Coturnix japonica: one gene and its partners. The protein of the gene in region 1 purifies or fractionates together with the protein of each later gene. This does not show direct contact. Links are inferred from orthologs where the notes say so. Each region holds a gene or a part of one and is shown in the gene's direction. Other genes may lie near its edges.

Region 1 (4,314 bases):
TATTGCCCAGCAGAAAGGAGCTACAAAGGCAGCAGGTCGGCAATGAGGAGCTTTTGGTCTCTTAGGTGTTAAATGACGGGGTGTGAGAACACGGCTTCCAGTTGTGCTGGAGAGGCTTTGGTTGGCCATGGAGGAGTTTCTTGGTGCAGATGGGCTGGGTCAGGCACTGGGGCGGTGATGGAGCTCCCCATCCCTGGAGGTGCAGGGAGGTGGGGTTCACTGCTAGAGCTGATGGTTGGACTCAATGACCTCGAAGGTTTTTGCCAGCCTGGATGGTTTGCAGTTTTATGGGCTCACTAAAATCCAAACAGCCCTATAAAATAGATGGGAATCATTCATTTCCAGTCAGCAGTTTCTGGGTTTGATGTGATTTAAGCCCATGTAAATAACTCTCCCATTCAGGTGGGGACTTTTGCCTCTGGGGGAATTCAGTGTCCTCAGGGATGACAGAAACACACAGAATCACAGAATGGGTTGTAAAGGCCCATAATGTCCATCCAGCTCCAACCCTGCTGTGTGCAGGTACCAACCAGCAGCCCAGGCTGCCCAGAGCCACATCCCCCACTTGGTTTTATGCACTTCTTCATCTTCAACGACCTCTTTGCCCTCTCCTCCCTTTCCCAACCTGAGCTGTGCAGCCCATTGACCCAGCTGGCAGCCGCACAGCAAACATCGCTACGAGGCAATCACGCCAAATCCCCTCAATAAACGGAGTTTAACAGGCTGAAGCTCCGTGGATGATTGCAGGGCAGCCTATCAAGGGCCGTTCCTAGAGGGAAATGCGGAGTGCTGGGCGCTGCTTTAAGGTGCGGCGGTGCCGGGATGTCCTGGGAAAGCAGCGCCGGGGGCGGGGGGAGCACACAGGGCTCAGCTGCACTGCTCAGCTCTGGTTTGATTCGGGATTGATCAAAGGATGCGATGGGAGAAACCCGGGGGGGTTGGGAGCAAACTGTGCCCTCACGGTCCGACCCATCAGCCCCGCAGCTCCGTCCTGTGCCCATTCAGGTGAACGAAGGAACGGAGCCACGCTCAGATTCCGTTTCCTGTTTTCAGTTCTGATTTCGTAACACCGTGGCCGTTGTGTAACTGCAGCAGGAGGAGAAAAACAGGAGAACCTCTCGGAAAAGAGCCCCATCCTGGGCTGTGCACCATCAGCCTGCACTGCACAGCACAGCACAGCACTGCATTGCATTGCACAGCACTGCATAGCACTGCACAGCTGCCATGGCTCCATCTGATCAATCACGAGTGAATCCAACCCGCTGTGCTGGTCTCCTGCCCTGGGCCATCGGCTGCCGCTCGTTCTCCGAGTTCTTTCCCAGCCTTGTTGGTTTTATGGCTCTATGATCCCATGACTCACGCCGGGCGCTGTCGGGGTGGGTGATGACCCGCAATGAGCCGGAACCATCGATGCGTCCAAGCCCTCGGTGCTCGATGTGGTGACGTTTCAGACCGCTGGGAGGGGACGCCGCGGGTGTCGTGGTGCTGCGCTGCCCGTGGGGCTGGGCTCTGCTCAATGCTCCGTGCTCTGTGCTCCGCCCCGGGGCCGGGCAGCTCCGGGTGGGGATATTGCCCGGCCCCAACATAGAGCCCGACACCCCGCCTTGGTGCGCGGCCCGACAGCTGCAGGTAGGGGAGTAGGGGAGCTCTGGGACTGCGGGTACCGGGTTGGACGGAGCTGCCACCCCTGGGCAGTTGGGTTGTACGGCTTTGCCCACCATCCTGCACGTTGCTTTGCTTCTGAACCCAAATGGTTTCCCAATGAAGGGTTCTCCCAAAGGCTGAGCCGGGTGTCGACACGGTTTGGACTCGATGATCTTAGATGTCTTTTCCAGCCTTAACCGCTCTATGAATTATAAAGTGGGACTTTCAGGACTCGGGGGGTTCGTTGGCACCTGCCTGGCCGAGCTGGGACAGCCCAACTTGGAGAGGCCCGACCTGCACCATGGGAAGCAGAGGGGTGGGAAAAGCAGAGGGCAAAATCCTGCACGGCAAAGTGGGGGCAGCTGAAAGTCATCGCTGCCAGTTGGTGCCCGAAGGGCTGCTTGAAAGTCACTGCTTCAAGTCACTGCTTGAAGTCCCTGCTTGGAAGTCCCTGCTTGGAAGTCACGCAGGCTCTGCATTGCATTTTGCTGGAGGAAGAGTTTGGTGCTGGGGAAACTCAGCTTGATTTCCGTATTGCTGTAGCAGCCCGGCTGGGTTTACTCAGCCCTTGGTGTTACTCAGCCCTTGGTGTTGCTCAGTGTTGCTTTAGAAGAGAACTTTGCCACTTTCCATTCGGAATTTTCCTTTTTCCCTCCCATTTTTGCCTCTCCCCGTTTATTTCCCCCCCTTCTCTCTTTGCTCATGAATGCACTCTTTGATAGCAGCAATTCAGCCTCAGGCCGCAGCGTTTCTGCACGGCGCAGCTTCGCCTTTTGGGGTGGCTGTAAATCCCATTGCAGCCCACGTGTCCCCATAGGGATGGCACAGGGGGGTCCCCCTATAGGACCCTCCTCTCCCATCCCATCCCAGCTGCAGGCCGGGCTCTTTGGATTTGGAACCATGAGGCACCTCTGGGCCTGGTTATGGTGTAGATGGTGAATCACCACCAGCCGTGTAAGCTGGGAGGGCAATAAAACGACTTCCCATCCTTTGTCTTTTTTGTTATAGGACAATGTCGGACGGTTTCTCTGTGAGTATCGGCTCCTTCCAACACACAGGGCTCTGTGGGGGCACTGCATGGAGGTGGGGACCTGCAGTGGGGAAATCATCACTGCGGGTGTTTGGGAAGTTGGGGATGTGGCACTGAGGGCTGATGCTGATTGTGAAGGTCTTTTCCAACCGTAATGATTTTGTGATTCTATGATTCCACGTTGCTGCCAATCCGTGTAACACCAATCAAGGTGCATTCAAGGACTTTGGGGCTCTCAGCACCAGCACGTGGTGTTGTGCAGGCCATGCAGGCCATGTGCTGGCAGCCCCACTGGATTCTGCTTCTCTTCCCCCTCCTCCTCTCCCCTCCATCCCCAGCTCTCCGATGCTCTGCCTGCTCACAACCCTGGTGCCCCCCCACCCCAGGGCTGGAACCAGCCCCCGGGACCTGGGGCCTTTCCACCGTACCCTGGGTACCCAGGTGCTGGATACCCTGGAGCACCAGGACCGTACCCGGGGGCACCGGGACCACATCATGGACCTCCAGGACATCATGGACCACCAGGACCACATCATGGACCACCAGGACCATACCCTGGAGGACCAGCAGGACCATACTCTGGAACTCCATCCGCTCCACTGGTAACAGCTCTGTCCTATTTCAAGGGTTTCTGGTTCAGCAGTTCCTCATTGAGCTGGGCTGTGGGAGGGACCTGGAGCTGAATGTCCTCAGCAGGTTGCACGAGCAGTCAGTCACATTGCTGTCACATTGCTGTCACGCCAACACCCAGCCCTTGTCTGACAGTCAGTCCTGTGCTGCTCGTTAACCTGCTGTTGTGCTCACACCACATCCCTGTCCTCTGCAGAAAGTCCCCTACGATCTGCCCCTGCCATCAGGCCTGGTGCCTCGGCTGCTCATAACCATCACCGGGACCATCAACCCAAATCCCAACAGGTACAGACGGGCTGCAGCAGTGTTTAGGGGCAGAGTTCGCTTTCTGAATGACATCCAGCTTCTCTGAAATCAAACGTGACACAAAAGAGTCTCTTAAATCCTCCAGCACTGCTCTGTCGTTACCTGAAAAAGCAGCTCTTTGATTGTTGCCTTGGCAGGTTCTCGCTGGATTTCAAGAGGGGCCAAGACATTGCCTTCCACTTCAACCCCCGTTTCAACGAAGACCACAAAAGGGTCATTGTCTGTAACTCAATGATCAACAACAACTGGGGGAAGGAGGAGAGAACAGCTCCTAGGTTCCCATTTGAACCTGGGTCCCCCTTCAAGGTAACAATAAAAGAAGGAAAGAAAAGCTGTTCTTCCCATTTCTCATTGCATTCTTTGTGCTGTCACCATGGGGCAGGTTGCTGTCAGGCTCCTGCAGTGCAGCAAAGGTGACCGGTGCTCCTTGGTTCCATTCTGGCTCACTTGATGTTTCTATTCCAGCTCCAGGTGCTCTGTGAGGGGGATCACTTCAAGGTGGCAGCCAACGATGCTCATCTGCTGCAGTTCAACTTCCGTGAGAAGAGGCTGAACGAGGTGACCAAGCTCTGCATCGCTGGGGACATCACCCTCACCAGCGTCCTGACCTCCATGATTTAATCACTGAGCTGTGCCTTTAACACAAGCCCAGCACTCCTCAGAGAGCTGTGACAGCAGCGCCTTCCTGGGTGATTACTTTGAAG
Region 2 (4,071 bases), on another chromosome or scaffold:
GAATTACACCTTTTCTTCATCACATGGATCTCCATGTTTACAACAGAAGAAAGCTTCAAAAGAAATCAGTCCCTCTGTTCATTCAAAAGTTGTTTGTTCCAAGGTTTCTCATTTTTTAGCTGTTGACTTTTCATATACATAGAAGTTGTATCAGGTTGAATCAGAACTGAACACTGCAATCCTAATTTCTCAGCATTCTACCATCTGTGATATAGTTTTTATCATCTTCATTGTACATTAATTTATTTGTTTATATATATTTTTAAATTACATGTCAGTAAAATTAATAATTGTTTCTGGTTTTAGTACTATTAATCTTGATAATCAACTGTTCCATGATGAAGTTAAAGTAAAACGTGCTCCAAAATACCCTTGCCTCTGCAGTAAAATTAATAACACTATTAATCTACTGTCACTAACGAAGGCAGTATTCCAATCACTTTCTGGAGTCCAGAAAAGTACAGGAGAAAGATACTCCTAAGACAAAGTTATTTTTTTCATGCTGCTACACTCTCATTGCTGTAGTTATACCATAGTTTGGATGGGGGCAGATCTACCAAGACCATATGAAATATCCAATTGTCCTGTCTCTTTCCCTCTTCTTTTCTTGCTGACCTGCCATGAGCCCTACTGCCTCCACATCTATGACTTCACTACCATCTTTGATGGCCAGAATTGCTTTCCCCACCTTCTTCTTTGGAGGCCCCTGCTCAATTGCTGTGGTCCCACTGAGGTATGGGACCCTACTCAATTGCTGTGTTAGGTAGGTATACCACTGAGGTATGGGACCCACAGACCTGAGTCCTCTTACAAAAGGCATTAGTATATAACGATGGGATCCTTCTGCTCTGTTAGAGTGCTTTGCTGGGAAAGGAGGAAAGCAAAGAAAAATAGGCTCTGTCTGCTGCTGAGAAGCAACAGTGTGGCAGTCCTAGTGCTGCAGGCACATATATAAGGCAAGATTTGACACAGGAGAAGCAGCTTTTTTTTTTCCATGCCCAATAGCCATAGCTAGAAAGCAAACAAATAAAACTAAATAATCCAGTTTAGCTTTCAAGCACTTAAACAGACACACCCTCCTCAGGCCGCTTTCACAGCGGCACTCAGCTGGACCTATTTACTCCTGCCAGTACCTCGGCGTATCTCGCCTTCCTTTCCCGTGCACGCACTCCCAAGCGGCCCCCGCCTTTTCCATAAGAGCCTCGGCCTAAGCGCTTTCAGTAAAGAAAGGGGGCGGTGGTGGTAGGAGGTGGTGACAGGCACTAAGCCACCACCTCCCGCTGCCTGAGGAAACGGCTCTCACGTGAGGGAGGCGGTAGCGCTGAGCTTACCCTGCCCGCTACCTTGGGAGGGAGGAGGTGCTACTGTGTGCTCCGGGATCGTGTGCGGCTCGGCGGCGCGCTATGCCGACCAACTTCACCGTAGTGCCGGTAGAGGCACAGGGCGGGGAGCGGGACTCGGCGGAGCGGGATGTGTGGCGACAGGAGGAGGAAGAGGACAACAGGGACCGGGGCTCCGGTGAGAGAGGGGAGCAGGGCGGCATCAGGCACTTGGGTGAGGGCAGCGCCGCGTCTCTGCGTTAGAGGGAGCGAGGCTCCCGGTGCCGCTGGGTTGTGTGAAGCGGGCCGAGTCTCTCCCGGGGGGCCCGTGCCGACTGTTAGAGCGGATACGTTTCCTTGCCGTAGAGGGTGGCGTCGGGTCTGCCTACGCAGGTAAGGAAGTTGCGCTTTGGGAGAGGGTGAAAGTCCAATGCAAGAGGTGGCTGAGAGTTTCTATTTCCACGCGCTGCTGCAGCCGCCGCTGGCCGAGACGAGGAAGTACTCCCGGGTCAGCTCGGGAGGGGCGCTGCGAAGCGTGGACCGGCGCTGCGGCCCTCGGAGAGCGGGGAGCGCGATAATCCCTCTGCGTCTGCTCGTGCCTTACCGAGAACAGGAGTAACCAGCGCCGCAGGCAGGAAAGATATGTCTCTTTTTAAAAGTCAAGTCCTGCTAGAGAAAGAGGCAGGAGGGAAAGTTTCTGGTTGTGGAGAAGAGTGTAATTGTACCTGGTTTGTTTCAGGGCCAGCTGTGCGCCTTTACACCAGCATCTATGTCTTATTAGGTGAGGTAGGCTTTTGCTGCCTGGCAGTACTGTGTTAGGAGCCTTGCCTTCTGCTAGGCCTCACCCCTGAAGTTACCAAGGTGAGCAGGAGGGAGCCTGAGGTGAAGCTTTGTAATGTTGTATGCAGGACGCTCTTCAGGGTAGCCTGTTGTGTGTCAGGATGGATATTTGTCTACAAGCAGTGGTGGGTTAAATAAGCTCTTTTCTCACTCAGGCAGTAAGGCTTGTCTGGGGAAGCAATAACTCTTCCTTTGACTGAGAAGCCCTGAACACTTCCTCTTTCCAGAGCATGTTGCAGCAGTAATTCCAAGTATGGTCCCTGAACTGCTGCTAGCAGCATGAAAACTGATTGAATCTTACATGGTATTTTGAACAGTCAAAACATGTTCTGAGTCTAATTTCAGTAAGTCAGACTAACTGCTGTACTCAGATTCATGGGTTGAGGAAATGAGCAGTATGCTTAATGTTTCTTGAGGTATTATATGGATGTGTGTACTGTGTAAAGCTGTAATGCATAAGATTGTTAAATTAATGCTTTGTAATCAAATAGTTATCCTTAGCTCATTCTTGTGAGAATGTTAAAGAATCCTAAATACAAGCTTTGTTAATGTCAGTGGCAGCTAAAAGGTACCGTGATTAAGCCCATCTAAAGGCTTATGCTAAACTGGCAGAAAAACTCAAACAGTGGGAGGAAAACATGCTTCTGTTCTTGGAAGTGAGATGAATGAGTGCTGCAAAAATATATGACAATTACTAGAGCTGTAACAAAGTGGAGGGAGGATACAGTGAAGAGCCGGGATGGGAGTAAGAAAAGAGGTATAATGGAACATTTCTCTTCAGATCACCCATAGTCTATATGCCCTATATGATCTTATTGTTTGGGCTAACTAGAATTTTATCTGTTTTAGTTGAATTATCTGACGTAAAAGATGAGTAATCATTCTGGAACTGACTTGTCTGCTGTAGTGGTTTCTTTTGTGTTTGGTTCTTTTCTGTGTGTTTTTTTTTTTTTTTTTTTTTTTTTTTAATTGTTTTGGAAGGAAGTAGAAACAGCCTGTAAGCCATTGAATCACCAATAAAATATTCCTGGTGGTTTGTTATCGAGATACTTATCAACTATTCTGTGTATTTATTCAGGCGTTCTCTACTGATAACCTATGCAATCACAGAGTAAGTTGAGATTTTCTTACTTCACTCCTTCATAAACATATGAAATTCTGAAGTGTTCTTTTTGCATGATCCCTGTATTTGTGTGAAGAAGGGTGAAGTTTAGGTGAGTGGCTGTTTGGTTGGATTATAGTACTGTCTAAAGTAGGATTTGTGATGAAGAATGAGGGACAAAAGTGTGGAAATTGGTTTATCAATTGAGCAACACAATTGAAGGTTGGAGCCTGGTAACTACAGAGTAGCAGGAGGAATTTGTATGTGCTTGTGTTGCTCAGTGTCACTGTAATTCCATACAAGCAAAGGAAGGGTGGTTAGGAAATAATAACTGGTAAAAGCAGGGAAGAAAGAGGAATGTGTTGTAGTAAATGAAGTTTTTTGAGAGTTTCTGGCTTTTTTCCCCTTATCTTTACACATATCAGTAGTGAATGTCTGTCAGTCAGTTTCAGGGTTTTGACAGGTATATACAAATTTGTTTTTCATTAGCCATTCAACATAACAGAGCATAACTAGCATCCCATGATGTTATTTACCTGGCAACAGCAGCGCCTTATTTACAAAAGAATATGACAAGTAACTCCTACAAAAAGTTCTTAAATTGGAGACCTCCAGTTACCAGGAGTATCAATGACAAACCTGCTTATCTTCAAGTAAGTTATTGCATTCATATTTAAGCATGAATTCTCCTGAAAGACAAGGAAATTGTTGAGGCAGATGATGTGTGTGTATGTATGTATATATATATATAGAGAGAGAGAGAGAGAGTGAAGGGTCAGCTCCTGCACAAAAGTTCAGAACCAGTCTGTA
Region 3 (3,514 bases), on another chromosome or scaffold:
GGATTCTTTAGCATGAGAACTGTGGTGGTAATTGCATCTCATCTGACCATAATCGGTGTAATATAAGTGTTTTGTGTTCAAAATCTTGGCTCTGAGAAGCATTCCTTACTGTTTTGAAATCCAGTGCTGTCTAGGTCCAATTATAACACTCAGCATGCCGTATTGATTTTCTTTCTGCATTTGGATTAGCTACATGTAAAGGATAGTTATCAGATATATCAAGAAAATGACCGTTTGGACAGCAGAAATTTCAAGGCTTAGGCTAAACTTTCTTTTGCAAAAGTTATGTTCGATGTGTTGAGAACAGCAAAACAGTTTTATTTCCCCTTTAGAGGCCCACCTCAGTGCAGGCAGCAAGGGCAGCTGGTCAACGATTGACAATGCAGCTGTGACCAGAACACTTACAGTTACTCATTTTCTGTTATTCTTTGGGTTTGGGGTTTTTTTGTTGTTGTTACCTTCAGCAATCACATTGTGGGCATTAGATATGGCTGTTATTCCTTTGAGCTGGGGCACCTTTGAAATGGTTGTAGTACATTTAGTGCTTTTTAGGCATTGCTGAGGATTTAAAGCTTTTCTGCTGTGATGGGGTCAAAAAGGTTAAATATACCTATTTTGACTTTCAGCATAGGGATATGGGACCAACTTGCAGGACAGGTTTGATCCAGGACACACATCATTCTGGTGCCCCGTGTGTGCATCGCTTTCCTGCTGCAGCTGAAGGGAAGACATTAAGAATATAATGAAGCTGGTGGTGTTGGTACCACAAGGACAGTGCTGCTGTGCACGAGCACCAAGGAAAATAAGCAGAGGGAAGGGCAGATTCTTCTTTCTGCTTGGATGATTGAAAATAATGCAGGCAAGCATAAAGGGAAAAAGAATTCCTGCAATTTTGGGAAAAATGCTTGTCCTTGCTAAATGAAAATGAACTTCAATATGTTTTTCTTCTTGACCATGTATTAAAATGTATCGCCTACAGTATTAGTAACAGAAGAGAGAAACAAATATTTATTGTTCATTCAGTGAACACTTAAGAGAACAAATCTATCTTGTGCTGTCACGGAGTTCAGGTAATAGCCAACAGGGGAAAGCAGGATGTGAACTCTTTTCTTTGGAGGTCTGTGGTATATCTATGTTCTTTTTTGGTGACTATCTCAGAAAGGATCCTGGAGAAGGTCAGGGAAGTTCCAGGGAAGAGCCACAGTCACGGTCAGTGATTTCTGTGCAAGGAACCGTGCAGAAGTCTATAACTTCCTAGAACTACCTCAGAAAAGGTAGCTAAAAGGAGGATATAAGCAATTTATGAAAATGAAAGGGGTAGAAATAGATCAGCGGTGGGATAAATCTCAGCGAGCTCCCTTCTGGAGGTAGGGAACACAAGCAAGGCTAGTATGAGGCAGGTTCAGCATGGATAAATGATGATGTTTGCAGCACGTAATTACATGGTGATCTCTTTGCCACAAGCTGTTATGGATTCTAAGAGCTGACCTGGGTTCAGGGGGCAGGCTGGACAAGTTCAACAGGGGGGAAAATTCAGCTGCAGGTCATTAAGTAGATGGAGGCTATACTTGGTTTGGCAAATTTGTCAGGAGCTCCAACTTGGAGGCTGGGATAATACTTGATAGAAATCCCATGCTGTGCTTTGCCTGTTTTTATATTGTACCAAAGCTTGCTTTCACATCTTTGTTTGTCCTTGTGTAGCCATAAGAAAGGTCATTTGTGAGAGAGGATGGGAAGTCTTTTTCTTTTTTTTTGCAGGAAGTGTAAGAGAACTGAGACTTTATCATGAAGAAATTAAAACCTTTGTCAAAAAGGTTGATAATTCATTACCCAAGTTGGAGCACTTTCTATGATGTAATTCTTTGCTAATACCTTCTGTCACGTGGGATCTGGGAGAAATACCTAGTTTAATATACTGCTACACTTGATGACCCTTTAGATGAAGGAATAGGTACCAAACTAACACTGGAGAAGGGGAATTTCTAAGTTGCAGGCTCTGAGATTGTATTTGACTTGCATACTTCAGTGCCTAGCAATGCTGTGAACCATGCATAGGAATAAGTGCTTTAATATTTCTTTTGTTCAGTTTGCTTAAATGATACAGTAAGGTTTCTGCACCACTGAGAAAGTTGAAGCTATAAATCAGAGCTGGCAACGTTAAAAACGTGTTTCAAGACCTAGTTTGTTTTCTGTATTGCAAACTAAACGCAAATCTTTTCAAGATATGGCAAAATAAGGAAGGGAAACTTGAAATTAGAAGTCATCAACAAGTGACTCAGCAAGCCCAGTGCATGGTACCTAATGGTCAATGCTAATGGCCTTTCAGTCATAAAACGGTGACAAATATGGTGTGATGGAATCTTTTGTAGACAAGTTGATCTTTTTTAATGTATTACACATTTTAACTTGCATAATTTCTCTTACATCACAACTTATGAGTTGCGCTGAGTTCTTGTGACTAAATCACATGGGGCGACTTATGGTAGGCAACAGAGAATAAAGAGTGATGGTAAAAACTGTGCAGGATGATTCTGTAAGGTAGAGATGTCTTATTTATGTTTGAGAAACGCTTCAAGCCGAAAAAGAACACCGTGACCTGGGCTGAATTGATAGAAGGGAAGGTATTTAATGGGGTTTTCACTGCCTGAAATCTCAGGCAATCTGATTTAATAAACACTCTTAATTTCCTTCAGAAATTGAACAACTTGTTTTTAATTTTTTCCAGGTCAAAGATCGAGGTCCAGAAGCCACAAGAAGATTTTTTAATTGGTTTTATTGGAGCATTAATTTGGGAGCTATTCTCTCTCTGGGAGGAATTGCTTACATTCAGCAGAATGTGAGCTTCGTAATTGGATATAGTATCCCAACAGTTTGCATTGGAATTTCATTCATGGTTTTCTTATGTGGTCAGAGTTTCTTCATCACAAAGCCACCTGATGGTAGTGCCTTCACTGACATGTTTAAAATTCTCGCATATTCGTGTTGCTCAAGAAAAAGACATATGGAACATTCAACTAATAGGTTTGTAACAAGCTCTTTGGTATAGTCTGAATTACAGTGAATCAGCTTAAGAACTGAAACTAACTTGCACAGGCTAGCTGGAAGTAAGTCAGGAGAGATTACACTAGAATGTGCAACTTTGCTTGAGAACTGTTGCTGAGAAATTTGGTTCCTGGGGATTGCATTGTGGAATCACTGGGATGAAAGAGAGATGTGTTCTGAGATCATTGAATCTCCATGCTGCAATGTCAAGTCTGCCATTTTCAACTGAGTCACTGAAAGTGTAATATTACCCAACTTTGCTGCTTCTAAACATTAGTGAATGTCTTGAACTGCCTAGATACGTTTATGGGGCACTGCCTGATTTTAAAAACACTACTATCTACATTCAGTCGTTTCTTATGCGGTTTGTTGGGTAGCTGAAATGTATACTGGCTTTTTGCTTTCCAAGTGGTTATTTCACTCTTAAGAGATGACCATGGCATACTGGTGGCTGAATTAGGTCACTGATGAT
Region 4 (3,239 bases), on another chromosome or scaffold:
TGTTTTTCTTTCTTTATCTCTGTCTTACAAAGAACTGGAGCTGCTGGAGAGGGGGCAGGGGCAGGGCTGGGGCTGTGGGATGTCCCAGGGGCACACGGAGTGATCCGTAGCATTCTTTTGGAGCTGTTGTCTAAGCTGAGGCTGAGCACTCGGCAGAGGACCAGGGGCTCTGCAGCCCCCCACCAGTGCTGTGTGCCCCCACAAGCCGCCCTGGGTGTATCTTGCAGAGAACACCACGGCCAATGTGTCGAGCGAGGCAGAGCGCAAGGCACAGCGCTACTACCAGGCCTGCATGAATGAGAGCAAGATCGAGGAGCTGCGCGCTGCCCCGCTGATGGAGCTCATCGCCAAGGTGCGTTCTGCCGTGCGGGCACCAAGAGCTGCCAGCTCCTTGTCACACATCCCCATGGTGCTGTGCCTGACTGAGTGTCTCTCCTCAGCTGGGAGGATGGAACATCACTGGGCCCTGGGCCGGGGGGGACAACTTCAACGTGACTCTGCGGGAGGTGACGGCGCATTACCGCGTCTCACCGTTCTTCTCCGTCTACGTCAGCGCCGACTCCAAGAACTCCAACAGCAATGTCATCCAGGTGGACCAGTCAGGGCTGGGGCTGCCGTCACGGGACTACTACCTGAACAAGACAGAGAATGAGAAGGTCAGGGTGGTGGGGGGGGTTGGAAGAATAGGAATGATTGGGAGAGTTTAGGTTGGTTGGAAGGGTGAGGAGAGCTGGAAGAGTTGGGAGAGCTGGAAGGGTTGGGAGGTGTGGGAGGGTTGGGAGGGCTGGGAGAGTTGGGAGGATTGGAAGGGCTGGAAGGGGTGGGAGGGTTGGGGTTGTTGGGTGCCCTGATCACACTGAGCTATGGGTGACACTTCATCCCCTCACAGGTGCTCGCTGGATACCTGAACTACATGGTGCAGCTGGGCATGTTTCTGGGTGGCACTGATGAGGAGTCAACACGGCAGCAAATGCAGCAGATATTGGAATTTGAGACAGCGCTGGCCAACATCACCATCCCGCAGGAGAAGCACCGGGATGAGGAGGTCATCTACCACAAGATAACAGCTGGAGAGCTGAAGGTAGGAGCGCAGTGGGGCTGCTGTGTTGCTGCAGCCCAGCCTGGAGCAGGGCTGGTGGAGAGGTGATGCAGCTCCCCTAGGGAAGGCCTGACTGGGAAGTACTTGTGCAATAGCTTGGCCTGTTCCCCCACCTCAACCCACTCCTCCCAGACTCCAGAGTGCTGCTGGGACTGGCAGCCATCCCAATGAGGCGCAAACGCCCTCCTGGCTGTGCTGCCCTGCAGACGTCAGCCCAACTACCTCCCCTGGTCCCCAAAGGGCCATCATGTGACTCCCCCCCACCCCACTGTCAGCATTTTCACACCCGCCCAGCTTTCTTTTCCTTTGTGGGAGGAAATTGTTTAGTTCCCTGCAACCTTTGGAGGATGCTGCTGCTATGGGAAATGGTTTCTTCAAAATCAGCTAAATCCATCAAGCAGAGCTGATGTAACAGCCACCAGCTCTGGAAGAGGCTACCATTGCTGATAGCTCTTAAGTCCGTAGCAGCAGCATGGCTTTTGCAGGATCTGGCACCAGCTGTGGACTGGATGCCCTTCCTCTCTACGGTCTTCTATCCTGTGGAACTCAATGAGTCAGAGCCCGTGGTGGTCTATGCCAAGGAGTACCTGGAGCAGGTCTCTGACCTCATCCTGGCCACAGATAAATGGTGAGAGCCCCCCACCTGCATGGAGAGGTGCCTGGTGTACATCCTGCTCCCTGCTCACTGCCTCTTGCCACAGCCTCCTCAACAACTACATGATCTGGAACCTGGTGCGTAAAACCAGCCCCTTCCTCGACCAGCGCTTCCAGGATGCGGAAGAGAAGTTCATGGAAGTGATGTATGGGACGAAGAAGGTGAGTACCGATGCCTCCAAGTAACTGCATTCCTACAAAACAGCATTTTTTAGCAAAGTCCCCATCACATTGCACCCAGATATGGACATGGGGTGGGTTTTGGGGTCATAGCTCTGGTTGGTGATAGTGATCTCATAGTGTGAACACTGGGGAGCTGTAGCCATGCTGTGCTCCCACTCATGTGCCTCCTGTTGCCCTTGCAGACCTGCCTGCCACGCTGGAAGTTCTGCATCAGTGACACGGACAACAACCTGGGCTTTGCCCTGGGGGCCACGTTTGTCAAGGCGACCTTTGCAGAGGACAGCAAGCAGGTGGTGCGTCCCCACTACCCCACAGTCAGCGTGAGGCCCTGATGCTGAGAGAGCTGCCCATTGTGTTATCCCAGTCTTCTTCCCCTCTGTGCAAAGGGTTCTGTGTCAGTCCTTGGACTTATTCGAATGGGAAGCCAGCTCTCCAGGCCAAAACGTGCTGCTTTCTTTTGTCTAGGCAGAGGAAATGATCGCAGAGATTAAAACAGCCTTCGAGGAAAGCCTGGAGAACCTGCAGTGGATGGACGAGGAGACGAGGAAGTCGGCCAAAGAGAAGGTAAGGTGCCGGCAGCAGCAGCAGGGAGACCAGCCCATTCTCCCACCTGGCACCAAATGCACCTCCATCCTTGTCACCCCAGGCGGATGCCATCTACAACATGATAGGCTACCCAAAGTTCATCCTGGACCCTAAGGAGCTGGACAAAGTCTTTAACGATGTGAGTTGCTCTGATAGATGATGTCCCTTGGGTCTCCCCTTCCAGGATGTGCAGGGTGTGTGAGCCCATGGCCACAGCCCCAGGGCTGCCTTGACCCCACATCCAAAGGGTCTCGCTGTGCCCTTGGACCCTCTCTGGAGACTTCCCAGATTGCTGCAGCTGGTTCTGGGATAGCCGGGCCTCTTGGGATCCCTGCCCAGACACTGAGGAGCTGGTTTCCGTAATGGTGATTCATGGTCCTCCTGGAGTTCTGCAGATGTTTGAGGGGAAGAGAAATGAGATTCAGCTGGCTCCAGAGGCTCAGATGTGACCATGCGGGGAGGAGTGGGGCTGGGCCCTCGCTGCGTGCTGCTCACACCTTGCTCTTTTGCAGTACGATGCCGTGTCTGACCTCTACTTTGAGAATGTCATGCAATTTTACAACTTCTCAGCCCGGGTCACAGCTGACCAGCTCCGGAAACCGCCAAACCGGGACCAGTAAGTCCTTGTCATGGTTTTGTCCTCTTCGCTGCTTGGCATGGCCATACTCTGCTTCTCTGTTGTGGTTGGCGGAAGGATCACAGTATCTCCTCACTCGCT
Region 5 (3,514 bases), on another chromosome or scaffold:
TAAAAATGCAGTGCTTTTGTGGTGTGTTTCAGATTTAACACATCTTGTCAACATTATGTTTACACTGTCTGGATTTCTGTGCTTGCTGGTAACAGATACCAAAATCCAGTACTTCTAAGAGGATTTTCCTCTTGTGGGAAACTTAACCACAATGTGAAATACTTCTAGCAGTTATACTACTCAGTTATATTTAGCTCCCACTTTCAAATTCTATTTAAGCTAGAGGTCCTGTCATTACATTGCTACACATCATGTTAATGGTAATGAGCACAAACATGACATTTGTCCTAATTCAGTGTTTGGTAGCTCTGCTTGATATTTAGCCTTCAGTAATGTATTCAAAGCTTAAAATTTTGGAAGTAGAAGGAGATTAAAGCTCTGTTCAGAGCAGGTGCATTTTTTTGTACTCAGAAGCTGTTCATTTGTGGTAGAGGTTTATTTTTGTTATTTTCCCCCTTTGCCATAGCATGATAGGGGCAGTGGGATTGAGCTGTTTAGCTAAATGAAAACCATCTAATTATAGTCACAGACCTCCATCTTATACTATTTGGGACAAGTCAGTGGTTTATAATGCATTTCTTTGCTTTCCCAAAGAAGAGTTACTGTCATCCCAAGAAAAATCTCCATGTTCCAAGGATGTGATAGTGAAGGTGGATTATAGCAAGAAGGCTGAAACAGACACTTCTGTAGCTTTTGTGCCATCGTCTAGTGAGAGAACTCCTGCTCCACATAGAGGTAACTAGCTAAAGTAGCTAACTGCTAGTTAGCAGTGAAATTTGAGTTCTCATTCTTTCTCTTGTTTCCTCTTCAGTCCCTCTCTCCTTCTGATGTTTTTGTTGTATTTGTGAAACAGAGAAACTGTCATTCTTTTTGGGGTGCTGATATCTAATAGCTCAAATATTTTGCTTACAAGTATGTATATCATATTTTTATGACCTAAATAAAAATGATGATGGCCTAAGGCCAGCACTACCTTTTTTTGTTTCTTAGTTAATGAGATTGAATGCCAATAAAAATTGCTTGGGAATTGGGCCTCACAGCTGTTTGTTAGCAGCATGATTAAGGCTGGTTAATTCATGATGGTGGTTTTCACCTCAGGCTTGAGTATATTTCTATCTGCATGTTAACTAACACAAATCATCTGGGATACTTGACATGACAATAACCAACTTTCTTCTTCTTTTGCAAGTAAAACTTTGGGCTGACTTAACTATTGAGAAATATGATTAAGTTACTATTGTGTTCAAATACAAATTATTCTCAGAACATGGTAGACCAAACTCGTGTGGTTTTCTTTGTATGAAAATCCATTTCATTTTCATTTTTCTTTTCTTTTCCTTTGTTTTTTTTTTATACACTTGTACTGTTTTCATTAACATCACAGAGGATATTAACCTTTTTATTTTGTATCTTTAAAAATCTCCAGAGGAGGACGAGGATGGAAAGACTCCAACACAACCCCTGTTGAAAAAAGGCAGGCATTTTTCACCTTTTTGTTAAATCATACTTTCACGTTGTTAATTTCAGTTTTCCTTTTGTACTCCATCCTACACGTATATTTGAAAGACAGAAAAATATCAGCTTTGCAAGCTCAATTTGTTTCTTCATATTTGCTTTGAAACTTGCTTCATCTGTGGGGATTAGGTGTGCTCAGGAGCCTCCTAAGTTATTCATGTCTTAGGTATTTGTCGGAGTCAACTTGATTTGGGTACAGTAGATGTATTAATTATGTAGTGGAAGTGCCTAGTTGGTCTATTCAGTCATCTTCTAAATCTGTATTTGTTGCTTTGAGTTGTTCAGTAGTTTGCAAAGCAAAGGATAGTGTAGCCAATCTGTGAGATTAACATCTGAAATAATGTGAAGTATTCATTCAGATTAGCAGCATTTTCAGAGGTGAATTTTCACCTAGTTTATTTCAGACTTTTTTGAGAATTAAGCACGGTTTAGTGGGGGAGGGGGGGGGGGGGAGGTTCTGTTTTTTTGGGGGTTTGGTTTTTTTTTTTGGCCTTACCTAAAAAGCATCTTGTCCTATTTGATGTTTGCTTCATAATTTCAACATCTAGAAACCCTTGTTTTTTAATAGCATAATGTGAGATTACGCCCTAAGCCACAAGATGGCAGTTTGGAGAAACTCCCAGTAAGCAGTAAAGTAGAATACTAGTAAGTCAGGTACAGATATGCTCTAAATTTCAGAATAACTCCCAGCTCTTGTTAAAACTAGAATCTTAGCTAAGGGGAGGGAGTTAATTTGTCTTTTGTCTTTTTCAATTGTTATTTTAAAATATATTTTCATTAATGTAATAATGTATTAATGTAATTGAAAAAAGCCAGTGTTGTTGTCTTCTCAGTAAGTCCAATGACATCATTGCAGAAAATAACCTGTTTTGTGCTTCAGAGCCTAGCAAACACAAAATTACTTTTGCAGGTTATTCTGACGTTTAGAACTAGTTTTCTTTTCTCTTCTTGAAGGAAGAAGAATTTGAGGAAATATCAGTGCCCGAGGGAGCGGCATAGAGCTGTGTCAGGGAAAGGAGGGGCAGCTGGGGGTCAGGAAAAGGTTGTGCATCAGAGGGTGATGGGCGCAGCCCTGAGCTACTGCAGCTAAAGGACCACTTGTGTTTGGGTGGTCGTTTGTGGAGCCAGGGTTTGTGAGTCCTTTCCAACTTGGGATAATCTATGAAGAGCTGGTATTTCCTCATAAATTAGTATCTACATGAATTTCAGGGAAGTACTTCATATAAAAGAAGTAGCAACAACAAGTTGCTTAAAGTCCTGAAATATGTATGAAATGTAGTTGTCCAGGCAAATGAGTATATCAAGACCTTGCAATCCTTTATCAAATGTCTGCTAAATGATTAAGAGGTTTAAATTTTAACTACTGATCTTAGGATTTTCCATGCTCCTTAAATGTAGCAGTTTCTATCCATTCAGTTCAAATTTGGAGCTTAGGGAATAATGGTTTAAGTAAAAATGCAAAATATCAAAAACCAAATGCAAGATTTTAATATTATTAACTAAAACACTTTAAAATGAACATTTGTGGGATTTTTTTTTCTTTTTCTAGATTGGAGGACCCCATCTTCTCCTTTAAATGTGGCTGACCAAAGACTTCTTGATGCTAGTAGTCAGTTTCAGAAGAAACAGGGCAAAAGCAATATTGATGTCTGGTGGCTCTTCGATGATGGAGGTAATATACTTTATATTTTAAAACTGCTGGAAAGAATTACTAAGGTGAAGTGATTTGAAAATAATTCTTAATAAATACTTTTCAGATTGTATATATACATGCTGCTGTTAAATTCTTATATTTCTGTATTTTCTGACACATTCCTAAATTCTGATCAAAATGCAGGTTTGACACTGTTGATTCCTTATCTTATTACAACCAAGAAAAAATGGAAAGAGTGTAAGATAAGAGTGTTCATTGGTGGAAAAATAAACAGGATTGATCATGACAGAAGAGCGTAAGTTTACCTTCAAAATTTTCATTTCAAATGCTAGAAGAACAAGTTAG

What was found.
Region 2: the proteins of LGALS3 (region 1) and SLC12A7 purify together in Homo sapiens (affinity purification with mass spectrometry; 3 studies listed by BioGRID and IntAct, counting the BioPlex papers as one, with this or other methods). This does not show direct contact. The link is inferred for Coturnix japonica from reciprocal best matches to the Homo sapiens genes LGALS3 and SLC12A7.
Region 3: the proteins of LGALS3 (region 1) and SLC15A4 purify together in Homo sapiens (affinity purification with mass spectrometry; 3 studies listed by BioGRID and IntAct, counting the BioPlex papers as one, with this or other methods). This does not show direct contact. The link is inferred for Coturnix japonica from reciprocal best matches to the Homo sapiens genes LGALS3 and SLC15A4.
Region 4: the proteins of LGALS3 (region 1) and ECE1 purify together in Homo sapiens (affinity purification with mass spectrometry; 3 studies listed by BioGRID and IntAct, counting the BioPlex papers as one, with this or other methods). This does not show direct contact. The link is inferred for Coturnix japonica from reciprocal best matches to the Homo sapiens genes LGALS3 and ECE1.
Region 5: the proteins of LGALS3 (region 1) and SLC12A2 purify together in Homo sapiens (affinity purification with mass spectrometry; 3 studies listed by BioGRID and IntAct, counting the BioPlex papers as one, with this or other methods). This does not show direct contact. The link is inferred for Coturnix japonica from reciprocal best matches to the Homo sapiens genes LGALS3 and SLC12A2.

What each region holds. Positions count from the first base shown.
Region 1 is NC_029520.1:51,128,932-51,133,245, reverse strand, and holds the start of LGALS3 (galectin-3), read left to right. Parts: upstream 1-1,507; 5' UTR 1,508-1,629; intron 1,630-2,652; 5' UTR 2,653-2,656; coding exon 2,657-2,674; intron 2,675-3,012; coding exon 3,013-3,276; intron 3,277-3,500; coding exon 3,501-3,589; intron 3,590-3,747; coding exon 3,748-3,916; intron 3,917-4,075; coding exon 4,076-4,231; 3' UTR 4,232-4,314. UniProt on the Homo sapiens protein: Galactose-specific lectin which binds IgE. May mediate with the alpha-3, beta-1 integrin the stimulation by CSPG4 of endothelial cells migration.
Region 2 is NC_029517.1:72,929,560-72,933,630, reverse strand, and holds the start of SLC12A7 (solute carrier family 12 member 7), read left to right. Parts: upstream 1-1,267; 5' UTR 1,268-1,403; coding exon 1,404-1,554; intron 1,555-3,242; exon of another isoform or gene 3,243-3,257; coding exon of another isoform or gene 3,258-3,270; intron 3,271-4,071. UniProt on the Homo sapiens protein: Mediates electroneutral potassium-chloride cotransport when activated by cell swelling. May mediate K(+) uptake into Deiters' cells in the cochlea and contribute to K(+) recycling in the inner ear.
Region 3 is NC_029530.1:3,153,874-3,157,387, forward strand, and holds part of SLC15A4 (solute carrier family 15 member 4), read left to right. Parts: intron 1-2,725; coding exon 2,726-3,021; intron 3,022-3,514. UniProt on the Homo sapiens protein: Proton-coupled amino-acid transporter that mediates the transmembrane transport of L-histidine and some di- and tripeptides from inside the lysosome to the cytosol, and plays a key role in innate immune response.
Region 4 is NC_029536.1:5,760,356-5,763,594, forward strand, and holds part of ECE1 (endothelin-converting enzyme 1), read left to right. Parts: intron 1-227; coding exon 228-352; intron 353-440; coding exon 441-656; intron 657-889; coding exon 890-1,081; intron 1,082-1,584; coding exon 1,585-1,727; intron 1,728-1,800; coding exon 1,801-1,915; intron 1,916-2,118; coding exon 2,119-2,229; intron 2,230-2,401; coding exon 2,402-2,500; intron 2,501-2,582; coding exon 2,583-2,660; intron 2,661-3,033; coding exon 3,034-3,137; intron 3,138-3,239. UniProt on the Homo sapiens protein: Converts big endothelin-1 to endothelin-1.
Region 5 is NC_029547.1:50,498,804-50,502,317, forward strand, and holds part of SLC12A2 (solute carrier family 12 member 2), read left to right. Parts: intron 1-594; coding exon 595-735; intron 736-1,426; coding exon 1,427-1,474; intron 1,475-3,064; coding exon 3,065-3,187; intron 3,188-3,352; coding exon 3,353-3,464; intron 3,465-3,514. UniProt on the Homo sapiens protein: Cation-chloride cotransporter which mediates the electroneutral transport of chloride, potassium and/or sodium ions across the membrane. Plays a vital role in the regulation of ionic balance and cell volume.